3 linked regions of the Tamandua tetradactyla genome follow. The protein of the gene in region 2 interacts with the protein of the main gene of each other region in a biochemical or structural test. Links are inferred from orthologs where the notes say so. Each region holds a gene or a part of one and is shown on either strand. Other genes may lie near its edges.

What was found. The genes of interacting proteins can lie anywhere in the genome.
Region 1: the proteins of GABARAP (region 2) and RETREG1 are reported together in a solved structure, tested with the Homo sapiens proteins (2 studies listed by BioGRID, with this or other methods). The link is inferred for Tamandua tetradactyla from reciprocal best matches to the Homo sapiens genes GABARAP and RETREG1.
Region 3: the proteins of GABARAP (region 2) and ATG7 form a complex in vitro, tested with the Homo sapiens proteins (2 studies listed by BioGRID and IntAct, with this or other methods). The link is inferred for Tamandua tetradactyla from reciprocal best matches to the Homo sapiens genes GABARAP and ATG7.

What each region holds. Positions count from the first base shown.
Region 1 is NC_135335.1:65,782,349-65,789,796, reverse strand, and holds the start of RETREG1 (reticulophagy regulator 1), read left to right. Parts: upstream 1-4,443; 5' UTR 4,444-4,488; coding exon 4,489-4,802; intron 4,803-7,448. UniProt on the Homo sapiens protein: Endoplasmic reticulum (ER)-anchored autophagy regulator which mediates ER delivery into lysosomes through sequestration into autophagosomes.
Region 2 is NC_135332.1:61,108,961-61,116,330, reverse strand, and holds GABARAP (gamma-aminobutyric acid receptor-associated protein), read left to right. Parts: upstream 1-4,793; 5' UTR 4,794-4,931; coding exon 4,932-5,021; intron 5,022-5,571; coding exon 5,572-5,650; intron 5,651-5,793; coding exon 5,794-5,912; intron 5,913-6,362; coding exon 6,363-6,428; 3' UTR 6,429-6,857; downstream 6,858-7,370. Other genes in the region: CTDNEP1 (CTD nuclear envelope phosphatase 1), read left to right, coding at 269-385, 615-726, 1,144-1,228, 3,061-3,121. UniProt on the Homo sapiens protein: Ubiquitin-like modifier that plays a role in intracellular transport of GABA(A) receptors and its interaction with the cytoskeleton.
Region 3 is NC_135335.1:37,669,273-37,676,711, forward strand, and holds the start of ATG7 (ubiquitin-like modifier-activating enzyme ATG7), read right to left. Parts: upstream 3,006-7,439; 5' UTR 2,914-3,005; intron 2,904-2,913; exon of another isoform or gene 2,410-2,903; intron 2,011-2,409; exon of another isoform or gene 1,519-2,010; intron 1-1,518. UniProt on the Homo sapiens protein: E1-like activating enzyme involved in the 2 ubiquitin-like systems required for cytoplasm to vacuole transport (Cvt) and autophagy.

The DNA of each region.
Region 1 (7,448 bases), on a different chromosome or scaffold from region 2:
CAGTGCTCTTGAATTGATCTTGGTCTTGCCCTCTGCCAAGTCCCACACAACCCATCCCTACTGCCTGAATCTGTCTCTCGTCCAGACCCAGTTGCTCTCTGAGTTGCCAGATCCTCATGTCCAACTACCTGACATTTCTAAAGATATTCCAAATAAACTAATCTGCCTCTCTACCAAACCATCTACTCCTCCTTGCCCTTATCTTATCTTAGTGAATGGCCAGGAAAAAAGTCTCATGTGTCTTTTCTCTGCCAGGCTCTATTTAATCCACTGTCCAGAGGTATCTCAAAACAGAAACCTGCTCAAAGCCAACTCATGGCTCCTCACTGTCTCAGGACCAAGCGCAAACTTCTCAGCATCATTTGCGAGGAGGACATTTCTGAGTGGTCTCCTGCTCATCCCATCCCAGGCCTCCAGCTCCTTGGAGGCTTGGGGTTTCCTCCAAGGGCCTGGATGACTTCTCTCCTGCCTCCAGGTTATACATACCATATGCTTCCCCCTTCTCTTCACCTGGCTATGTTCTTCAGACTCTTTGTTCCTTGTTTGTACCCTAGTATCTCTAAGGAAATGAACAGTCTTGTTGCTCTTACTGTAAACCCACAATCTGCCCTCAATGGATGTTTCATGCTCACTGGATGAAGAAATAATGAAGAAATGAAACAAAAGTGCAATGAGGCAGAACTAGGACCATTATAAGGAAGAGTCTGCAGATGAGGACCAGAACAGTGACTTGCCTGTGGATTCAGGTACAATTGATAACCGGGCAGGAAGGAACTGGGCTGCGAGCATCTTGCATCTTCGAACACATGAGTATGTGTGTGGACATAATCATGTTTTAGTGTGACCTCAGTTCTTTTTAGTTGACCACTTGAAGCCATCGAAAAGCCTTTTTTTTTTTTGCGGGGGGAGCAGTATTACTATTAGGGAGAGATACCCAAACTGGATATCCCAACTGGTGTAGTTGTTGGTGCTATGGGGTTCATTTCTGGGAAGCATGCCCCTCCTTGAATGCTTGTCCAGCACCGACTATTCCAGTTTGTATATTCCAGTTCTTATAAGCATGGCAGACATTCAACCGAAAACAGAAGCAGTGAGCTGAGTACTGAGCTAAGACTTGGAACCTTGAATGATGTAGGGCACAAGCTTCCTCTTCATTTCCTTTGTTGTTACTATTGCTGTATGATTTTCTTATTTATCTGGGCTAGCAGTGAACAATTTAGGTTTTCTTGGCTCAGCAACAAGCAAATTAGGAGAAATGAGGAATATGGAGTAGAGGATAGGCTAAGAATAGGAGGAGAGAATTGCTTTAATAAAATTATCAGCACAAAATTTTATCTGCAGGGCTGAGAAACAAAACGTCATGTATACACAGCTCTTTCCACTCAAGGAGTTATGGACCTACTGTAGGATTCTAACATGAAACATGTTAAGTCAAAAGCATTAATACTGGTCATTATCCCCTCACTCTAAGACACACCTTGATGTTGTCTGTGCAACTTCCTTGATTGGGAATTCATTATTCATGATTTTTCTGTCCTATTACAAATTTTCTATCTGCTTTGGAAGATGAAGGCAAGTACTCTCTTTATAGGCAGTACTTGTGTATATTTTGGCTTTCTTTACTGGAGCCAGGTTACTTTCCAAACTGTCTGAGATTCAGAGGCTATATTTTGTTCTCTTTTTGTTTCCTTAGACACATTTTCAGTTTCCTTGTTATCTTTGGATATATATCGTCAAATCATCTAGTTCATTAGTGTTCACTCTATTTCCAACATAGAATGATGCAAAAAAACAGAGGAGACTTTTAAAAACTGTGTGGTCAGCCAGGGGATTTTAAGCATTGCATGCTCTTGAAGCTAAGGGACAAGCTCTACTGCAACTACTGATAGTGTTGTTTTGATGTCATCTTAGGCATGGAATAAATTTCTCAAGTATTACAAAGATAATTAGGCAAAGAAAAAACACCCAGTTGCACCCATTTATGTGCCTGTGCCAGGGTATTTAATCTTGTCACACAATTCGTCTGTCAGCAATTATTAAAGGTCAGAGGTGAAAATGACTGATTACAGCAATTAGTCCAGTCTTTTATGCAAAACAGTCCTTGCAGCATTTTCTGCATAGTAATTTTAAGAGAGAGAGAGAGAGAGAAAGAAAAGACTTCACAGTGCATAGTTGTGAGCAGGGAGATTTATCATTAAGCAGAGATAATAAGTATTGCAAACCACACATAGCAACTGGGGCTTAGCTTTTACGTGTCTTGGTTGTCAACAGCCTTTACTTCTTTAATGGATCTGAAGAACGATAATTAGAATGCACGGGTGAGAAGGAGGAGCATAGGAATAGCAAACATGTTTCTGGAATCACATCAACCCTGGTGTGGACAATGGGGACACCTGGCTCCTTGTTGCCTGCACCCATAACTCTCTGCACCGGCTGTGACACAAAGTGCCTAGTGACATATCCAAGAGCATCACAAGTCCGAGGCTGTATCCAGTGCTAAACAAAGGGCAAATTACACAATGAAGCATCGTTTATCTTGCAAAAGCTCTTGCGTCAGGGTCAAATGGGAGCACCAACCCCTGGCAAAAGCACCCAAGCTTCTTTCCATTGGCTTGATGAAAGGGATCCTTCCCAAAGGCGAGGCTGGAATGCCAGAGACCCCACACTCCCTCCTCACTAGTGCAGCATTCAGGGCCCTCAGCAGCTGCAAATATACATAATGAACTGTCCTTTCTTAGGCTGGCCCCTCCACCTGCAGCGCCATGCCTTCCTTATGCTGCTCTCCCAACAGAAATCATTGCCTCCACCCCCTCTTCATTTCCCTTAAAATTCAGGGCAGATGTTATTAATTCTCAAAAGTCTACAATGGATTCCTCCACTCCTTCCCTAATTTGGGCTGCACAAATTTAAGCAAGGACTCTCCTAGCACCTAGAGATGATTTTTTTTGCACATTTATCACTGCTGTATTTGGACTGTGAGTTTCCTGAGAGTGGAAGCCATCACTACAGAGCTTAGCAAAGCATTCCGTATGCAGGTGGCACACAATAAACCTCTGAATGAGTTCTGACAGTATGCTCCCTTGAGGTATAACATACAAGGAGCAAAGGGCACACACCTCAAACACATAGATCAACACATTTTTACACATGTATACACAACCCAGACCAGCACATACAACATTTTCCCAAAGAGCTCCCTGGAGACAAAGGGATTTGGTGGCTCTAGGAATGAGTCCCATGCATGCCAGGAAAGCAGGTTCCCAGAGTGGACTGGAGAGAATATAAGATATCATGATTCATCCTCGGGAAGAACTCTCAGGATTGGGGCGGGGTGTGTGGGGTGGGGTGGGGGTGGGGGAAGTGGGGCAGTAGTATTTCATTCTAGAGAAAAGCAAGAACTGGCATATTAGAGAATAGATCAATGCTGAAAGTTCAAATAGTGAAAACTGAGCATAATTAATAATTGGCCTTCCTTTTCCCCTGGGCTCATTCAGAAGCCCCAAATCCAAAGAGGCCGGGTACTGGTGAGGTCTCAGGAACCCTTTCACCACTGCCTCCTTATCCCAGCTCTGAAGCCTGCTTGTGACACCGAGACCCGACTGACACTCAAGTAACCGCAGTCGAGCCTCGCCAAGCCTGCGGGACGTGTAAAGCGGGACCCCTTGCTTCTCAGCCCCCAGTCCCTTGCACCTCGTACAAACCAACGGGCTTTTTTTGAACCAGCTCGCTATACCCACAAGGAAACAGGCGAGAGAGGAAACGCCTTCCCCCATCGCTGAGGGTTTGCGTTTCCTCCCTTGTAAAATGAGACGGTCAGACCCTCCCTTCACCAACCGCAAATGTTTTGTTTTGTTTTGGTTTGGTTTCCTGCTTTTTCAACCCAACACCTCTAACCACGTTATTCCCAGGGTGCCATAGACCCCTGCCTATGCCTATGCCTGTGCAGACTGTGTACCGCCAGGGCCCGGGGGTTCGGCGGGGGCTGAAATCCACCGCAGGGGGCCCGCGTAACGCCCTGCAAGGTGGCAGGGTGAGCGAGCGGTGGCCCCGACTGGGAAAAAAACAAAAAAAAAGGAGATGTCCAATTGATTTTGCCGGTAGCCCTGGCTCCATTTGAGAGAAGCAACCGCGCAGCGGCATCGCCACCAGTTCACTCCCCCCGCCCCACACCCCTCAACCCCGCAGCTGGGAGGAAAGGGGGGTCATTTCCTTGCGTCTCTGGCGAGGTGGCCGAGCGCCCCGGAACCCCGCCGGCCGCGGCCCCCAGCGCGCAGGGGATGCCAGCCAGCCCGCGGCCCCGCCCCTGCGCGAACTTGGCCGCACCCATCTCCCCCGGGCGGCGCCCCAGCCGCGGCCGGCGCTGACGTCACAAGGCACCCAGCGGCTCGCGGCCCGCGGTGCGCGCCCAGCGCCGGGACCCGCCGCCGCCCGCTCGGCGCCGACACCCAGGCGTGCCCCGCGCGTCCGCGTCCCCGCCCGGCCGCGAAGATGGCGAGCGTGGCGCCCCGGGAGCACGCCGAGGAAGGATGCCCGGCTCCCGCTGCCGAAGAGCAGGCGCAGCGGCCCCCGCCGCCCCCGGCTGCCTTCCAGGAGGAGCGGGAGGCGGCGGCCCCGCAGCAGGAGGAGGCGGCGGCGGGCGCGGGCCGGCAGGTGGAGGAGGCCGCGGGCCGGGTGGCCGCCGCCGCGACCTGGCTGCTCGGGGAGCCCGTGTTGTGGCTGGGCGGCCGCGCCGACGAGCTCCTGAGCTGGAAGAGGCCGCTGCGCAGCCTGCTCGCCTTCGTGGGTGCCAACCTGCTGTTTTGGTGAGAGCCTGGGCTGGGTGGGGGCTCCCGGGGTGTGGAGATGGGGGGCATTTGGGGCGCCCAGGGGTGGCAGAGGGCAGACCGGCCGGCCGGCGTGGGGTGTGCACGCTGCAGAGAGAGCGGTGTCAGCCCTGGCCCACCTTCTCGGCCACCTGTCTCGAGCAGAAAGACCCACACCTCAACTTTCCTCTCAACGCGTTTCCCCGTCTCCGGTCGCACCCCTGTCCACCCGCGCGTGCGTCCAGCCTCGGCGGCCAGGTGGTCCGCTGACTCCTGCGCACCTGTAGCCCCATAGGTGTGGCCACCGTGCTCGGAAACTTCAGTCTTTGCTTTCTAAAACTCTCAAGTCTTGACCTGGTCGGCTCAAGCATGCCAGAGCTAGTGGGCTTGAACTTGGCATTTGTCCCTGCACTCCAGCAGACATAGCTGGACCAACTTAGGTACACGTTCAAGACTCTGCCACCTTCATAAACCACCTGGGATGGGCGCTAAATGGTTTGTTTTCCCTTTCCCTGGAGGGTTTACTGTCTTAACTCCCTGGCAGGAAAACCAGGAGGCAAACAAACAGGTGGATTATGTACCTCACCCCATCCGCCCCGCCCCCCTCGGACTGCGCAGTGTAGAAAATAGCATGAAGGGCAGAGAGAAAACATAGGAATTATTCTCATAAAAGCCCGTGATCAACAGGTTTGGCTCTCCAAAAAGTGCCCTTCACCCAGACGGGCATGGGAAGCATCTGGCTCCTTCGCTGAAGGGCATATGCGCTGTCATCTGTTCTCAGTCTGAACTGAGGGCAGAGAAAAAGCCTTCTTTGTTTGCTCAAGGGTCCTGTAACGAACCTGACCCAGGCAGTGCAGAAGAGGCTGAACCCCGGTATACCTTGTCAGAGGATGTGGATTTCACCTTCCAGTTGGAAAATAAATCAACGCCTGGAACAGAACACACCTGCCATTTTTATTAGGTCAACTTGAAAAACAGGAAGATTTTTCTGGAGAGTCTGTGCTAGTCCTGGTTTTCTCTTTAAAATGAGCTGCATCTTGTCAGGGTCCCTGAATGTAAATGAACTTTTCTTTGTGTTTAGCCATCTGTGTTTTTAGAGTTTACACCCGATTTCTTCATATACCCAGTTATGAAGTTACATGAGTACTCAAAGGAGAGCAATACATGATATTAGGCTGGATTGGGCATTATTCTTAGGGATAGAAAGAACCTTATCATATTATCACAATCATTTTACTAATAAGGGCCGTGGTTTTAAATTTATTTTTCTTGATTTTAAATTTTATTTTTTAAAATAGCTAATACAGACTCAGTTCAAAAGTTTAAAGATACAAAAGGATACATATTTTGAAAATCTCTTTCTCACGCCTGTTCTTGGCTACGCAGTGTTCCAGTGTTACCCAGTCTCTTCTGTATCTTTCCAGGTAGTATTAACTATCCACGTAATATTAACGCATAGTTCAGCAATTACACAGTATTTGCCATAAATTCTGGAATACTACATGGGCTGCCCTCTTCATGGTTTTCTTGGCAATTGCTTCTTTGTTCTTTTTTCAACAGCATAGAATTTAGTTGTAAGGATGTCTCAAATTGTTAAACTGTCCCCAATGATGGGTTGTTTTCAAACTTTTGATATTTCAGTGTTATGGCTAATAACCTTATACACACTTCATTTTTGCATATATGAAAGTATTTCTGTAGAATAAAATCTTAGAAGTGAAATTAGAGGGTATATGTACTTATAATTTTGAAGGATATTAATTTATACTCCCACCTCCAATGGTTGTGACTGCTTATTTTCCTACATCTTTGCTGACAGCATTTGTCAGACTTTGATCTTGCAAATCTGATAGGTGAAACAGGGCATCCCAATGTGGTTTAAATGTGCATTTCTCTGTGAGTTTGAGCATCTTTTCTTATATTCAAAAGCCATTTTAATTATCTTTTCTCCACATTGTTTGTAAATATGTTTTTTAATTGAGCCATTGGTCTTTTTCTTACCAATTGTAAGATTGATTTGTAGGAGCTTTTTCATATTAAAGATTTAGCCTAATTTCTGTGATATGAGCTGCAAGTGTTCTTTCTATGGCCTATTAGTAATATCTACTGAAAATAGTGTTTTTTCATAAGACAATTGAAAGGCATATGTGTTATTTTTCAGGAGTGATGTTTGCCATGTACTGTATTTATAACTCCTATGGAGAATAATTCTGATGGAGAGGCAAACAATGGCCAAGTATTCAGCCTCCTTCTAGCTTTCTGCTTATCTGTTATTTCTTCTCCTGCAGTATCTACATTCCACGCATTTATTTTCCTTAACAGAATGATAACATCCTGCTCTTTGAATTCTGAAATACTTGTTACTGCTTTTGTACTTTGTGCTATAATCCATTGGAATTTCTGACCCATTTATTAACTTTGATTCAATTTTTGGAGTGTTTTTCATTCTCTTTTTGTTGCTTCCAGGGTTAGAACACTTTTCAAGGACGTTCAGTTTTCTTTAAATAGTATGTTTCTTAATCTTTGATCTTATATTATGTGACCCTCTAACATTATGTGTCCCAGGAATTCTGAAGCACTATATTTTCCATGAGAAAACAAAAGATTAATATTTTAAATATGCGGGACCCAAATCTTGTCTTCAGC
Region 2 (7,370 bases):
CTAGTTCATTTGTTGTGCAGATGTAATTCCATTCCCTCACAGGCATCTTTTTCTTTTGTTCTTGGATCTCTGAAGAATATAAGATGCTGAAATTCTGAGTTTAGGGATTTGGGAGTGGGGGTGGAGGTTCAGAATTTTGTCCCAGAGATACATGATGTTGTTGGAAGGTCTGAAGGACTAGGCCTGAGTCCTAGGGAAAGGGAACTATATTCTAAATGTACGATTGTCTCTCTTCCCTTACACCTCCTTCTCCCCCAATCCGTTTCAGGTGAGCCACTGGTATGAGCTGGTGGTGTTCACAGCAAGCATGGAGATTTATGGCTCTGCTGTGGCAGACAAACTGGACGATAGCAGAAGTATTCTCATGAGGAGATATTACAGACAGGTAGGGGGCTAGAATCTAGGTCTAAGAATGATGTTTGGAAGGCAGGCCAGCATAGAGGAACCTGGGTTTGAGGCGGTTGCCCTGAAATGGGACCTATCGGGGGGCTGTGGGGGAGCATACTGCATAATCATCTTTGTGAAAGTACGTTGCCCATGGACATCACTGGGATTTGGGGAGCAGCCATAGAGGGTGAGTCTCCTTTTGATGCCCAGTTCATCCTGCCTTCCAGCACTGCACTTTGGAGTTGGGCAGTTACATCAAGGACCTCTCTGTGGTTCACAGTGACCTCTCCAGCATTATGATCCTGGATAACTCCCCAGGGGCTTACCGGAGCCATCCAGGTATGAGGGGAAGGTATGAATCTGGCAGGACCAGGGAGTGGTTTTGAGGAGGTGTTCTGATTGCACGGAGCTAGGAGCCTTCAGAGCTGGAACTTGTTGGGGGTTAAGGTGCAAGTTTCTCAGTTTCAAATGAGACATTCTCCCCACCCTCACCCCGTATGTCCACGTCTCACATCAGATTTGTTTTAAGTGGGGCCAAATGGCAGTAAGTTTGACTCGAAGCCTTATTCTAGCATGAGATCTGGGTGATTAAAAATGTAATCTGCCTTGGAGAATGAATCAGGAAGGTTTCACATAGGCCATTGGAGGAGGGGGTAATATGTATTTTTATTAACGGTTCCCCTCAAAAAAAAGTAAAAGAAAAGCAACTCTCTTGAATCCTTTATTTCTTCCAATCTGCATTTTCACCTGCCTTAGACAACGCTATCCCCATCAAGTCCTGGTTCAGTGACCCCAGTGACACAGCCCTTCTCAACCTGCTCCCGATGCTAGATGCCCTCAGGTAAGGAAGTAGATTCTAGATACTTGGGGATGCCATGAGTGTTTAAAAGTTGGCTTTTTTTGTTTGTTTTGTTTTTACTTAATGTCTCTTCCCTTAGGAATTTAGCATTTGAACCCAGGTCTTTTAACTCCAAACTCATCACATGTAACCACTGGGTTTGAGGTAGCAGAACCTCAGTCTCATCATCTGAAAAATGGTGGTAATTTCTGCCCCATGTATCTAATCAAACTGCCTTACATTATTGTTGGAAGGATTTAAATTATAAGACACTCTACCAATGCAAGTTTTTTTTTTTTTTACATGGGCAGGCACCGGGAATCAAACCCGAATCCTCTGGCATGGTAGGCAAGCATTCTTGCCTGCTGAGCCACCGTGGCCTGCCCTCTTTTTTTTTTTTTTTTTTTTATGAAACATTTCCACATACAAACACAAACATTTTTACCATATGATTATTCCATTGTTATAAAATCAAATAATTCACAATATCATCACATAGTTGTATATTCATCATCGTGATCATTTCTTAGAACATTTGCATCAATTCAGAAAAAGAAATAAAAACAAAAAAATTCATACATACCATACCCCTTACCCCTCCCTTTCATTGATCACTAGCATTTCAACCTACTAAATTTATTTTAACATTTGTTCGCCCTATTATTTATTTTTAATTCATATGTTTTACTCGTCTGTTGATAAGGTAGATAAAAGGACCATCAGACACAAGTTTTCACAATCACACTGTCACACTGTGAAAGCTATATCATTGTACAATTATCTTCAAGAAATGTGGCTACTGGAACACAGCTCTACATTTTCAGGCAGCTCCCTCCAGCTTCTCCATTACACCTTAACCTAACAGGTGATATCTGTTTAATGCGTAAGAATAACTTCCAGGATAACCTCTCAACTCTGTTTGGAGTCTCTCAGCCATTGACACTTTGTTTTGTCTCATTTCTCTCTTCCCCATTTTGGTCAAGAAGGTTTTCTCAATCCCTTGATGCTGAGTCCCAGCTCATTCTAGGATTTCTGTACCACATTGCCAGGAAGGTCCACACCCTGGGAGTCATGTCCCACGCAGAGAGGGGGGAGGGCAGTAAGTTTGCTTGGCTGAGAGAGAGAGTCCACATCTGAGCCACAGAAGAGGTTCTCTTGGGAGTGACTCTTAGGCCTAATTTCAAGTAGGCCTAGCCTATCCTTTGCCAGGGTTAAGTTTCATATGAACAAACCCCAAGATTGGGGGCTCAGCCTATTGCTTTGGTTGTTCCCACTGCTTGTGAGAATAACAAGAATTCTCCACTTGGGGAAGCTGAATTTTCCCCCTTTCTCATCATTCCCCCAGGGGAACTTTGCAAATGCTTTTGTATTCACTGTTCAAATCACTCTGGCATTTATTAGGGCATCCCTCTGGAGAAACCTACAAAATCTCATGCCCTACTCAAGGTTTCATGTACTATGGTGATCAGTTAAGCTGTTCACATATGTTGTATTAGGAAATACACTAGTCAAAATATAAATTTTGTGCCAAATAAACATTTTTTGCTGTAGTCTCACACATAAGTTAAAGTTTTAAAATATTCATTACCATCTATTTCTAACACCCTGCAGTATTGACATTCCTTTGTTCTTCCTCATGCAAAAACATTTTTAAATTTGTACATTTAGTCACTATCATTATACACTCTAGGCATTCCTAGATTATACCATCTCAGTCTTTATCATCTGTCTTTCCATGTTGTCATTTGTGCCCCCAGACCTCCTCCATTATTCTCACATTCTGCTTCATTCAGTATTCTAACATTATTGTCCAATGCAAGTTCTTGTTATCCTAGGTTCACTGCTGACGTTCGTTCTGTGCTGAGCCGAAACCTTCACCGACACAGGCTCTGGTGACAGCTGCTCCCCCTCCACCTGAGTTGGGGTGGGGGGGAAAGGGAGGGTGAGCCCTCGGATGCCGTCTGATCCCCTGTCCAATGGTGAGGACTGCCTGGGCAGGATCTGCCCCTCCCACCCCCCTCTGCCCTGGAGCCCTGCTCTTCACTTGGAGTCTGGATGGACCCATGGCCAGACTCTGAAGCAGCCTCACTCTAACTTCGTGTTCACACTCCCTGGAAACCCCAGACTGGACACAAGCCAAGGCCTAGGAGTGCCCAAAGAAACTGTGTGGAAAGGCAGAACTGGCCAAAGTGAGAGACATTTGGTGTTCCGGGAGGCTCAAAGAGAAGCTAAGCCAGCTTTGTTGTGATTTGATTTTTAAAAAACTCTTGTTTTTTAAAACTGATCTAATTCTTCACTCCTTCCTGCTCCAAGAGCTGGGCTGGGCTGGGCTGTGGGTGGGAGACTGGGATTTTGGCCACTGAATTAGCCCCAAACTGTCCTCCTTTCCCTCTCTTTTTCTCTTTTCCTAGATTCCCTCAAACTTCCCTCAAACCTATAACCAGCTCTCTTTTTTCTTCTAAACCATGCATTATAACTTTGAAACCGGAAGCTGCGGTTTGGGGAAAGAAGGAAGGGGACTTTGTTCACATCAACCCAGGGGGAGGAGGCTGCTGTTGGCCCCCGGGGGTAGGGGGAAAATGTGGTGGGGGTGGAATAGTGAAGGTTGACAGGAAATGCTTGGGCGTGAAGGACTTGAGTAATAGGATAGAGTCCTGGTGGGGACTGGGAGATGTTTCTCTCCGGGAACGTGAGCTTCAAAGCAGTAGGCTGTAGAAGTACTAAAGTATGAGAAACCTGGATGCCCGCAAGAGCATACGCCTAGAGTAATGCAGAACTTCGTCAGGGTCACTGGTATGGACAAACTAAGCATAAGCTGAGCGCTTCCTCAAAGAACCTGGTGCCCAGGGATCTCCGCGCTCTCTGGGCCTGACCCACCCTCGCTCCCGGCCCTGGCCCCAGCCGACTCCGCCTCCTAGCACCCTCCTTCCTGCAGCCGGCTCTACTTCCTCGTACCCGCCACGTGACGCTCCGCCCTTCCCCGGGATCACGTGATTTCAATGGTACTATTCCTAAAAGTGTTCCTCCGCGCTGACGTTGTCCCTACATTTTGGACCTCCTCTCCAGTCCCTATTGGTCCACTCATTCTTGGAACCTAAGCGTTCTGTGCGACTCTTCAAACCCGTATTTCATTTCTGCCATCCTGTTTCTGGAGACGACTTCCTCCACTTGGGTACTACTTTGTTTTGGTGTCAACGGCCGCCTTCAGCGGAACCCGTTTCGTGAATAGCTGTCCTTGTACAAATTACCTCTGCTCCTTGACGTTATTTCCGAAAGGAACTTTTGAAGACTCAAATCTCCAATTATGACTACCATTTCCTACCTCTTTTCATGCTCAGCTTCGTGGAGGAATGTCGGGAAATGGATTTTCAATTATCTCTCACGATACGAAATGCCAACCACCTTGCTACGTTGCCTGCGTGGCCCACAAATTGATCCCAAAGCGATTACGCTACTGGCGTGAGGGGGATGGCGGTCAGTGGGTGGTGCTACGCCAGCGGCGTTAGGCCGCTGCGCTAGTGGCGTACTTTAGCAGGTGGGGCAGCGCGTTATGGGCCGGGGTGGGGTTGGTGAATAGGGAAGTGGCGTAAGATCTGGGGATCGCTCCGCTGAATCCGCCCGCGCGTCGCCGCCGTCGCCACCGCCCCCTATCCCGGCCCCCCCGGGTTTCCTCAGCCCAGCCCGGTCCAGCCCGGTTCCCGGGAGGATGAAGTTCGTGTATAAAGAGGAGCATCCGTTCGAGAAGCGCCGCTCTGAGGGCGAGAAAATCCGAAAGAAATACCCAGACCGGGTCCCGGTGAGGACAGTAGCCTGGGCGGAGGGCGCTGACGCTGACGCCGACGCCAAGCTAGGGCTTGGGTTCGGCACGGGCTACGCAGGGCTCAGGCTGCGAGCTGTGGCGGGGTTGGGGAAGAGCCTTAAACAGCTGTTCCGGGGACTAGGGGTGAAAGGAATGGCGTGGTGCCAGCCCTGGGGCTGAGGGGATATCCCTGGGTGGGGAAAGTAGACCTTGGGATTCGTGTGAGTGGAAGATGGAGGGGGAACTTGACAGTCACCCCTCCAGCTAGCTAGGCTTGCGAGATTGACAGGCTAATAGGCCCAGACAAGTGGTCCCAGTCGGATTAAGATCGTATTTATTTATTATGACGCCCTATTCAGGGATCCGGACATTTAGGTGAGCTGGAGACACGGGGGTCAGGATCTCCGGACCTGGTGCTGCACCGCGTGTGCAGAGACAAAGAAATGAGGCTGGGGGTGGTTTGGGTGCTCTGAATATTGTTGCTTGAGTTTTTGATAGGTAGAACTGCAGAGTTGTTTTGTCCTAATTTTCATCGTCCCTTTTTCAGGTGATAGTAGAGAAGGCTCCCAAAGCTCGGATAGGAGACCTGGACAAAAAGAAATACCTGGTGCCTTCTGATCTCACAGGTGGGAACCTGACCCAGGATCCAGCTTTGCTCCCTGTGGGTGGGAGTGCAACCTCTGTGGGAGGAAGGAGGCTTCACATAGGAGCTGCAAAGCTGAGGGCATTTGTGACCTCTGTGACTTTCTTGCTGTTATATCTTTGGCAGTTGGTCAGTTCTACTTCTTGATCCGGAAGCGAATTCATCTCCGAGCTGAGGATGCCTTGTTTTTCTTTGTCAACAATGTCATTCCACCCACCAGTGCCACGATGGGTCAGCTATACCAGGTATAGGGACTGGAAGACAGTGGAGGCTTTGGAGAGGAGTCTTGGAAGCATTTGAGGGGAAGAAAGTTTTAAGTCCGCAGTTTTTTATGCTAGCTGGCTTGTTTAGCCTGCAATTTTATCTTTGGCCTGAAGACTGAAGGGTAGTCCCAGGTTGAGGGTTTGGAGTAGGCTGTGGGAGTACAAAGAAGGGAAAGAACAGTGAGTTAGAGGTAGTGTTTGATGACTCTCCCCAATCCCCCTTCCCATTTTGAGGCACTAGAGAACAATTTGAGATCTTTTTGCTAGGGATAAAGCTGCTTGGTTGCTAGGTATAGAGCCAGTGAGGGAGAGAGTCAGGTACTGGTTTTTGGGTCTTCAAAAAGAATGGTTCTTGAAGAATGTGGGCTATGGGTGGTTCCAGGAACCTGAAACCCCAATGCCTGAGCAATACCATGTTCTGCTTTCAATCAGGAACACCACGAAGAAGACTTCTTTCTATACATTGCCTACAGCGATGAAAGTGTCTACGGTCTGTGAAGCTGCTGCCCCTAAGGTGGGGTGTCCCATTCTACAGAGAGAGGTGGCCCTCCTTCCTTGACCTACCCCCCCTTCTTCAGGCTCAGACACCGCCTCTCTTCTTCAGGACCTGCACTTCTTAATGTTTGAAGCTTTCTCTCCAGCCCTTGCTAGCAGGAGAGATGGCTCCTAGTACCCCTCCTATTTCTTTTTTCTTCACCTTTCTCAGCCGTTTTTCCCATTCTGCCTCAGACTTCTTGGTTGTCAATCTCTGTCACATCTAGTGACTGTTTTGGTTTCTCTTCCTTTTCTAACTGCCCATGGGGTCCAGAACCCCAACAATCCCTTCTTTTTACTACCTTTTTTTTGGGGGGGGGGTAGATGGAAGGGACTGAAATTGTGGGGGGATGGTAGGAGGCACATCAATAAAGAGGAAACCACCAAGCTGAACTGATTTTTGCCTTGTGTTACCCCCCCCCTCCCTTTAGCCTTTCTCAGGCGTCATGGGCTTCAGTGGTGGGGAGAGAGGAATGGATGCAAATTGTGGGATAGAAATACATTTTGGTTTATCCTTTTGAGATTTTTTCTGCATGAAAAAGAGTGCTTTTGTTATGATGGGTGATGGAATGAGAATGCTTCTCAGTATCATTTTATGAAACTTCAGTTTTATATTCATGTTTATTGGGTACTGATGTAAAAAATAGTGTTTTACTGTGGGTTCCTGTGAAGAAAGTTTGAAAGCACCTGCTTTAGATAACCATATCCAAGTTTGTTACGAACTTCTGGATTAAGGAAGAGTATTTATGTGTGGGCGGGAATAAAAAAAACTGTCCTCAGTTGCCTGTCACTTGGCCAGACTCCGTCTTGACCTGTGGGCTCCAAAGGAGTGGAATCCGAGGGAGGGCGGGAGGAGGGAAGGGATGGAGGGGAAGATGGGGGAAAGGTAGCCATTATCACTAGGAG
Region 3 (7,439 bases), on a different chromosome or scaffold from region 2:
GTAGTGTAATTGTTTTACCCCCAAATTGCTTTACTGTAATTCCTTGCTTGTCTTACCCTCAACTTATTAGTTTCTTAAAGACAAGGACCATAGCTTTTTTGTCATTGAATCCTGAAATAACTCTCAAATTCACCCACCCATCTCCATCCCTACAGCCACTGTCTTCTCAGGCCTGTCTTCTGTCATCTGGATTGCCATGACAGTGCTCTAATTGGTCACTCTGCCCTTCTTGCTCCATTAAAGGTCATCACCACATTTGGGTACTTTAAAAGACATCTTTGTTCAAAATTCTTCAGTGCCTCACTCCACATACCCCTAGTCTCATAGCTTTAAAAATTAAGACCGAAGTTCTTAGCATGTCATTCTAACTGTTTACCAAGTGTTTACTATCTACCAGTACCAAGCGGGCAACATGTATCATTTCATTCAATTCTTACAGCAACCCTGCAAAGTAGGTGTTTTAGTTTGCTAAAGCTGCCAAAATGCAAAATACACAAGAAACTGGTTGGCTTTTAAAAAGGGGATTTATTAAGTTACAAGTTTACAGTTCCAAGGCCATAAAAATGTCCAAACTAAGGCATCCATAAAAAGATACCTGACTGAAAAAAAGGCCAATGGCATTTGGGGTTTCTCTGTCATGTGGGAAGGCACATGGCAACATCTGCTGGCTTTCTTCCCTGGTTTCTAATTTCAAATGACTTCCCTGGGGGTCTTTTTATTTCTGTATCTCCAAACAGCTCTGTCTGCAAGCTCTGAGCTTTTTCCTAAATTGTTTCCTCTTAAAGGACTCCAGTAAGTGGATTAAGACCCACCTTGAATGGGTGGAGACGCATCTCCATGGAAACCACCTAATCAAAAGGTCCCACCCACAACTGGGTGGGTTATATCTCCATGGAAACAATCTAATCACAAGGTCCCATGCTAAAAATAGGCCTGTGCCCACAAGATTGGATTAAGAAAAGGAACATGGCTGGAGTAAATAACAGTTTCAAACCAGCACAGCAGGTAGTACATCTCCCCTTTTTATAGAGGAGGAAACTGATGCTTAAATAGAAAGTGATTTTCCCAAGGTGAGAAAACTAGTTTAGTGGTGATGGCCCTACGTGTAACCCAGGTATGTTAAATTCCAAAGCCTGTGCCCTTGACCATTATATGCTATTGCTCACAAGTCCCTTGTAATCTGGCTCCCATTTACCTTTTCACAGTTACCTCTTATTCCAGAACTCTACTTGCAAGTCAGGTACTCTCACCTACAGCCCTTTGCTCATGCCACTGCCAATATTTACAATATCATCCCACCTCTTTTCAACTGGCTAATTGCTACTCATTTTTTAGGACTTGGATAAATCATATCCTCACAGAAGCCTTCTCTGATGTCTCAGACTGACTTACAAGCACTTCTCAATTTTCCTCTAGCAAAGCTCCACAATAGCTTCATACTGTATTGCTATAATATATCTCTTTGAGTTGGAAAAAAAAAAAAAGTAAACTCCCTGAGGACAGGGATGTATATCTTACTCATTTTTGTACTTTCAGACTGTGGTATAGTGTCAGGTACACAGCAGAAGCTCAACATGTATTTTTGCTTATTTTCTATCAGGAGAAACCGGCTGAAAACAGAAAAGGGATCTTGAGGTTGACAAATAAAGAGCCCAGTACTCAGCTCCCCAAAACGGTTTCGAAATCATGTATATGAGTGGCAGGGAGGACTTGACCAAGAAAAGCAGAGGGGAAGGCAGCAAGAGCAGCAGGCTGTAGGTGAGATGACCTGCAAGAACAAAGTTGGGGGGGAAACAATCAGGCAATGTGAGCCTGCACAAATCTAGCCTTTTCACGAGCTCAAATATAAATCTACTCAGGGAAACCTTCTTGATAACTCTCAAATGTCTGTTTTATGTATTCATAAGCAACTATTTGTTGAGCCTCTATAATATGCTAGGCACTATTCTAAATGCTGGAGATAGAGCAATAACTAAACCCAGATTTCTGTCCTTGCAGAGCTTACTCTGGTAAATAAATAAAATGTACTTAGCCTAGAGGAGAAAAGGTGGGAAGAGGAAGACAGAAGTGCAGGGCAATTAAGTGGAAGGGGCAGTTAACTGAAAGGGCAAAGAGACTGAAGGAGGGATGAGATGATTACCAAGTAATAGCATACAGTTCAATATATGACTTTTAATGAGAGCTGGGGGAAGAAGAAACAGGAGAACCAAAAGTAGTGAGTTTTCTGTCACTGAAGAAAATTAATCCGTGGGCAGGGATGTCACATAAGAAATCTAAGTATACTATGGGATAAGGAAGGTAGGACTCAGAAGTCCCAACGTGTCACAAAAATGCCTGGTTTCAGTAACAGTGTTAAAGTTCGATTACACTTCTGTCAGTGGAATTTTCTTACGCCTGCATTTACCTTACCTGATTCCGGTTAAACATCAGAGTTTGCAAACCCTGCACCAAACCAGAAAAAATGCGCCTAGAGTTCTCTTAATTTAACTTCCTCATTGCACAAATGATGTATTGTATTCCCACTTGACAGATCAGAGTATCTCAGAAACGGGCGGGACGCGCCAGAGCCACACAACAAATCCAGGCAAAGACAACGAAAACCCAGGTGTCCTCCTAGCTATTGTTCCCAAATCAGAAATTCTGAGCACTCCCTGCAGAGGACAGGAGGAGTGCCTTAGACAATCAGCAGGAATTTCCAAATCAGAAGTCTCGAGGCTGTAAGAGCATGAGGGGACGTAGCTGGAAAAAGAGGGAAGACAGTCGGAGTGACTTCCCGGAGGCCCCCTCAGTTCGGGAGAGGAGTAGCCTGAGACGCGCTCCCGCCCCCACGGTCGAGCTCCCCTCTTCTCTACCGGCCTCCGGCACGACCCCGAAGGACCCCCACCACTCCATCGGCAGCAACCGCTCACTTACCGCCACTCAACTTCCGGCAACCGCAGCGTCGCCGCAGCGCGCGTCCCGATGACGCAATATAGTCCCGCCTCTGTCTTACCAGGAGGAGTAGTGCGCATGCACACAAACAGGCGCCGGCGAGCCTGGAGGAAATGCGACCTTACCGTCCAGCTGAGTGGAAGGGGCTTGGGTTCTGGAGAATATAGGGCGGGGGGAGTGGGCGAGGACCCTGGGGAGGGACGATCAGGACCCCTCCCTTTTCAGATGTGGAAATATGTATATGGTCTGTCATGCTTTTTAAAAAGTGCTCCACGTCCTCTTTTTATTTAAGAGAATAAGAATCATCATTGCCATTTTTCAAGAGAGGGAACTTCCGACATAACACGCGGATCATTAGGAAGGCAGGTGTGGAGAGATAGCAGAGGAAAATTTTAATAAGCAAAGGCCAGTGAAAACTGACAGTGACCAACCTCCTCCTTCTCAACACTCATGCTTTTCGTAGCTTACGATGTCAATGGGATTAAGTTATTCATTCTAAATTTATTTAGCACATTGTACAGTGCCAAGCATTGGACAAGTGTTGAAAATACAATAGTGAATATGATAAATTTCTTAATCTGGCATGTAATGCTGGCTCACAATGTAACCCTCATGCAGCTCTATAGACTTATAAGAGTAATGACGACTCTTTTTTTTATTATTATTGTTTTTCTTTTTGGATTACCTCTGTTTCACATTTCTAATCTTCACAGAGGTCTGGCCCCGGATGATGTCATATTATTCCCATATTACATGTGAGAGAACAGAGCCTGGGAAAAGTGGTTTGCTGAAGGTCAAAGAGTTAAAAAAAAAAAAAAAAAGGGAGAGGATTCTAACGGAAGCCTGTTTGTCTCTGGTGAAATGAAAAAATAAATCCAGATTTAGTAAGGAGAGACTTTATTCCAAGGATTGTTGCACGTGTTGGGAATGCTGCAATAGGAAGAGGGGCAGTACTGCAATAAGGAAAATGCTGTGAGCATGAGATCTGTAGGCATCTCAAGGGTTTTTTCTTTTATAGGGAGAAGTAAACAAGGCTATAAAGAATCTGGTGTGGCTAAGTAGGAAGAAAGGGTGGCTTGACCCAATACTAGATCAGAAGACGTTTTACCATGAGGCCAGCATATTCTCAGGAGAGGTTGTATGCTGGTTCAGGCTGAGGGTAAGTCAAACAAAGCTTGAGAACTGGGAAGGAAAAGAAGCTTATCCAAAGTTCGATTAACAGGCCTTTTGTTCCCATTGATCAGTAGGGACAGGAAGTTTGGCTAATCATTTATAAGACAAAGAATGGGAACTTGGAGGGTCTGTGTCTGGCCCTGTCATAGATAAACAAGGGAGGCATCTATGAATTTTATCTAAGTCATATGGAGAAGAGTGTTTCTTTGCAGAAAGCCATTTCCCAAACACAAAAGGGTGCCAGTGGGGAGGTTCTTAACCATTGCTGTTTTCCAGGAGGATTTTACAAGTAAAATTTAACATTTTCAACTCTTTCCACTGTGTCAGTCTCCTCTCCTGCCACTGACCCTCAGACTGCATGCTTGAGTCACTAAACTAATTCTGGTTTCCTGAACACACTCTGCTCCTTTTTATCTCCATGCTGTATTTGCCCTTACACTTCCTGTGTTTGTAGAACCCTTTCTGAATCTTCAAAACCCAGTTGAAATGTAGAAGAATATCACAGACAAGTCATATGAGAATATATGAGATTCTAAAATCAGCAAAACTCATCTATAGTGATACTGATCAAATCGAGTCATTGCCAGGGCAGTAGGGGTAGGGATTGTCTGCAAAAGGGCATGAGGAACTTTCTGAGGTAACAGAAATGTTTTATGTATCTTGATTGGGGTGGGAGTGAAATGGGTGTACATATTTGTCTAAACTTGTTGAATTCTACATTTTAAATGGTGCGTTTCATTGTCTGTTTTTGACTTTTTTTTTTTTTTTTTTTTCTTTGCATGGGCAGGCAACGGGACTCAAACCCAGGTCTCCAGCATGGCAGGTGAGAATTCTGCCACTGAGCCACCATTGTACCGCCCATCTTAGCTTTTTTTAAAACCCGGTTGGATGTCACGTCCTCTGTGAAGGCATGCCTGACACCCATCAAAGTAGGCTCCAAGAGTACTTAACTCTATTAAGCCTGTATGAGCCTTGGTTGAAGTTAGTTCTTTATAAGCTAGTCTTCCCTGCTGGATGTAGAGATTCTTATGATAATCATCTTTTGGAGTTTCTGCCCAGCTCGTAATGATTCCTCCTTCTCATGTGCTCCCCCTCCACACACACACACAGTTGATTAGAGCAGAGGTGGAGATGACAGTTCTTTACTCTGAGTTTTGGACTTTTAAACTAATGCTCATAGAGAATAGCAATAGTTCCTTTGGGTCAATGGCATCGTTACAGAGGGAATGTTCTCAAATTCTTACTTTTGAGGTTTCTGTGGTTGACTTGGCTCAAGCCCTGCCCAAGGCTAGGTCATTCAGAGCTTCATTCGAGTCCATAAATGTGATGGCTTAGAAGCTGTGTGTACCTCAGAAAAGATCATGTTCTTTTAATCCATTGTTGTGGGTATAGACCTATTGTAGGTGGGACCTTTAGATTATGTTATTTCAATTGAGATGTGATACTACCTCATTCAAGGTGGGTCTTGATCCTCTTACTGGAATCCTTTATAAAAAGATAAAAGACACAGAGACGACACAGAAAAAAAGACTCAAAAAAGCTAAGAGGAAAGAGTCAGAGAATCTTAAGAGGATGCACAGGAAAACAGAGAGAAATTACAGAAATGGAGAGGAAATCACTGAAGCCAGAAGCTGGAAGCAGTGAAAACCTGGAGAGAAGGGAGAGACCAGCAGACATCACCATGCGCCTTCCCATGTGAGAACCCAGGTTGCCAGCAGCCTTTTCTTCAGGAAGAAGTTATCTTCCTGATGGTACCCTGATTAGGGCATTTTCACAGTCTCAGAAGTGTACATTTATACATTAATAAATCCCCATTGTAAAAGCCAACCCATTTCTGGTATATTGCATTTCATCAGCTTTAGCAAACTAAAACAATAAAATGCACAAGTAAGCATTCATAAAGTTGGCTTCTGTTATTTGCAACCCTGAAGTAGCTCCATAGGGTTAGAACCATTTCTGTCTTATTCTCCTGTGTTTCTTAATGCCCAGATCGAGGCCTGGGCTAAGAAGTGCCTAAAAAGTATTTTTTAAAAGTAACAGATGGTGTCTGGGCATGAAAAATAGATGTGGGGACCAGAGTTGATGATAGCTGAGGTCACAAATTTGTCTTCCTTGTTAACAAGGAGTTAAGGTGGGGCTCAGAGCATAAGCTTCCCAGGACAGGTGGCTTTTGGTAAGCAGACCGCTGGCGCACTAAGACCAGGGAGCATCAAGGAAGCTGCAGGACCAGGAACCACAGAAAGGCAGAGAATGTCCTCAGACACAGCATGGCAAGGAGGTCTCGTGACACTTATTCAAGATTACTGCAATTCAGGCCAATCTACCTTCACCACTTGTCTTGCCGCTCAGTTACGGGGAGCACACACTCCCCAGAGTGAGAATCCTACGCCAAGCCAACCTACGTTTTGAGAACTGCGAGATTGTAGAATGACAAATGTCAACAAAGTAGATTTTAACAGCATTGTATCTTTATAGCACTTAGAGTGCCTAGCAGCCAGAACAGCTCCAGCATCTTTTTCACCCTTTGTTAAGACTATCAATAATCAACCTCTGGGAAGTCCACGCATTCCCATTTCCGAGAAGGAAACCAGTGATTATCTGAAAGCCAAATACCCAAATGACCAATTCCTCAAATTTGCAGACTGGTAAATTTTTCTGAATGCCAAAATTACCTGTGTTTAAGGTTCACAGTTGTCTCTATTGGATGAAGTGGCTTTGTAGGTTTTTCAAGATTTATGCAGTGTTGTAGATGACTGTTTTTCATGTTGTCTTCAGAGAAGTCCTTTAAAGAATTTTTATTTATCAGAAGCTGTGCCGGTGTGAATCTGTTGTGTACTCCAGAAAAGCCAAACTCTTTTTAATCCTCATTCAATATTGCTGGGTGGGACCTTTTTGATTGTTTCCAAGGAGATGTGATCCACCCAATTGTAGGTGGTAACCTTTGATTAGATGGTCTCCATGGAGATGCATCTCTACCCATTCAAGGTGGGGTTGCTTACTGGACCCTTTTAAGAGGGAACCATTTTGGAAAAGGCTTTAGAGCCACTAGAACCGACAGAGCCAACAGAACGGACAGAGCCCTGGGGAAGCCGTTGAGGAGCCTGGAGAGAAAGTTAGCAGGCATCGCCATGTGCTTTCCAGCTGAGAGAGAAACCCCAAACTTTGTTGGTCTTCTTGAACCAAGATATCTTTCCCTGGATGCCTTCAATTGGACATCTTTATAGCCTTGCCTTGATTTGGGCACTTTCATGGCCTTAAAACTGTAAACTTGCAACTTTATAAATTCCCTTTTTTAATAGCTGTTCCATTTCTGGTATATCACATTCCAGCAGCTT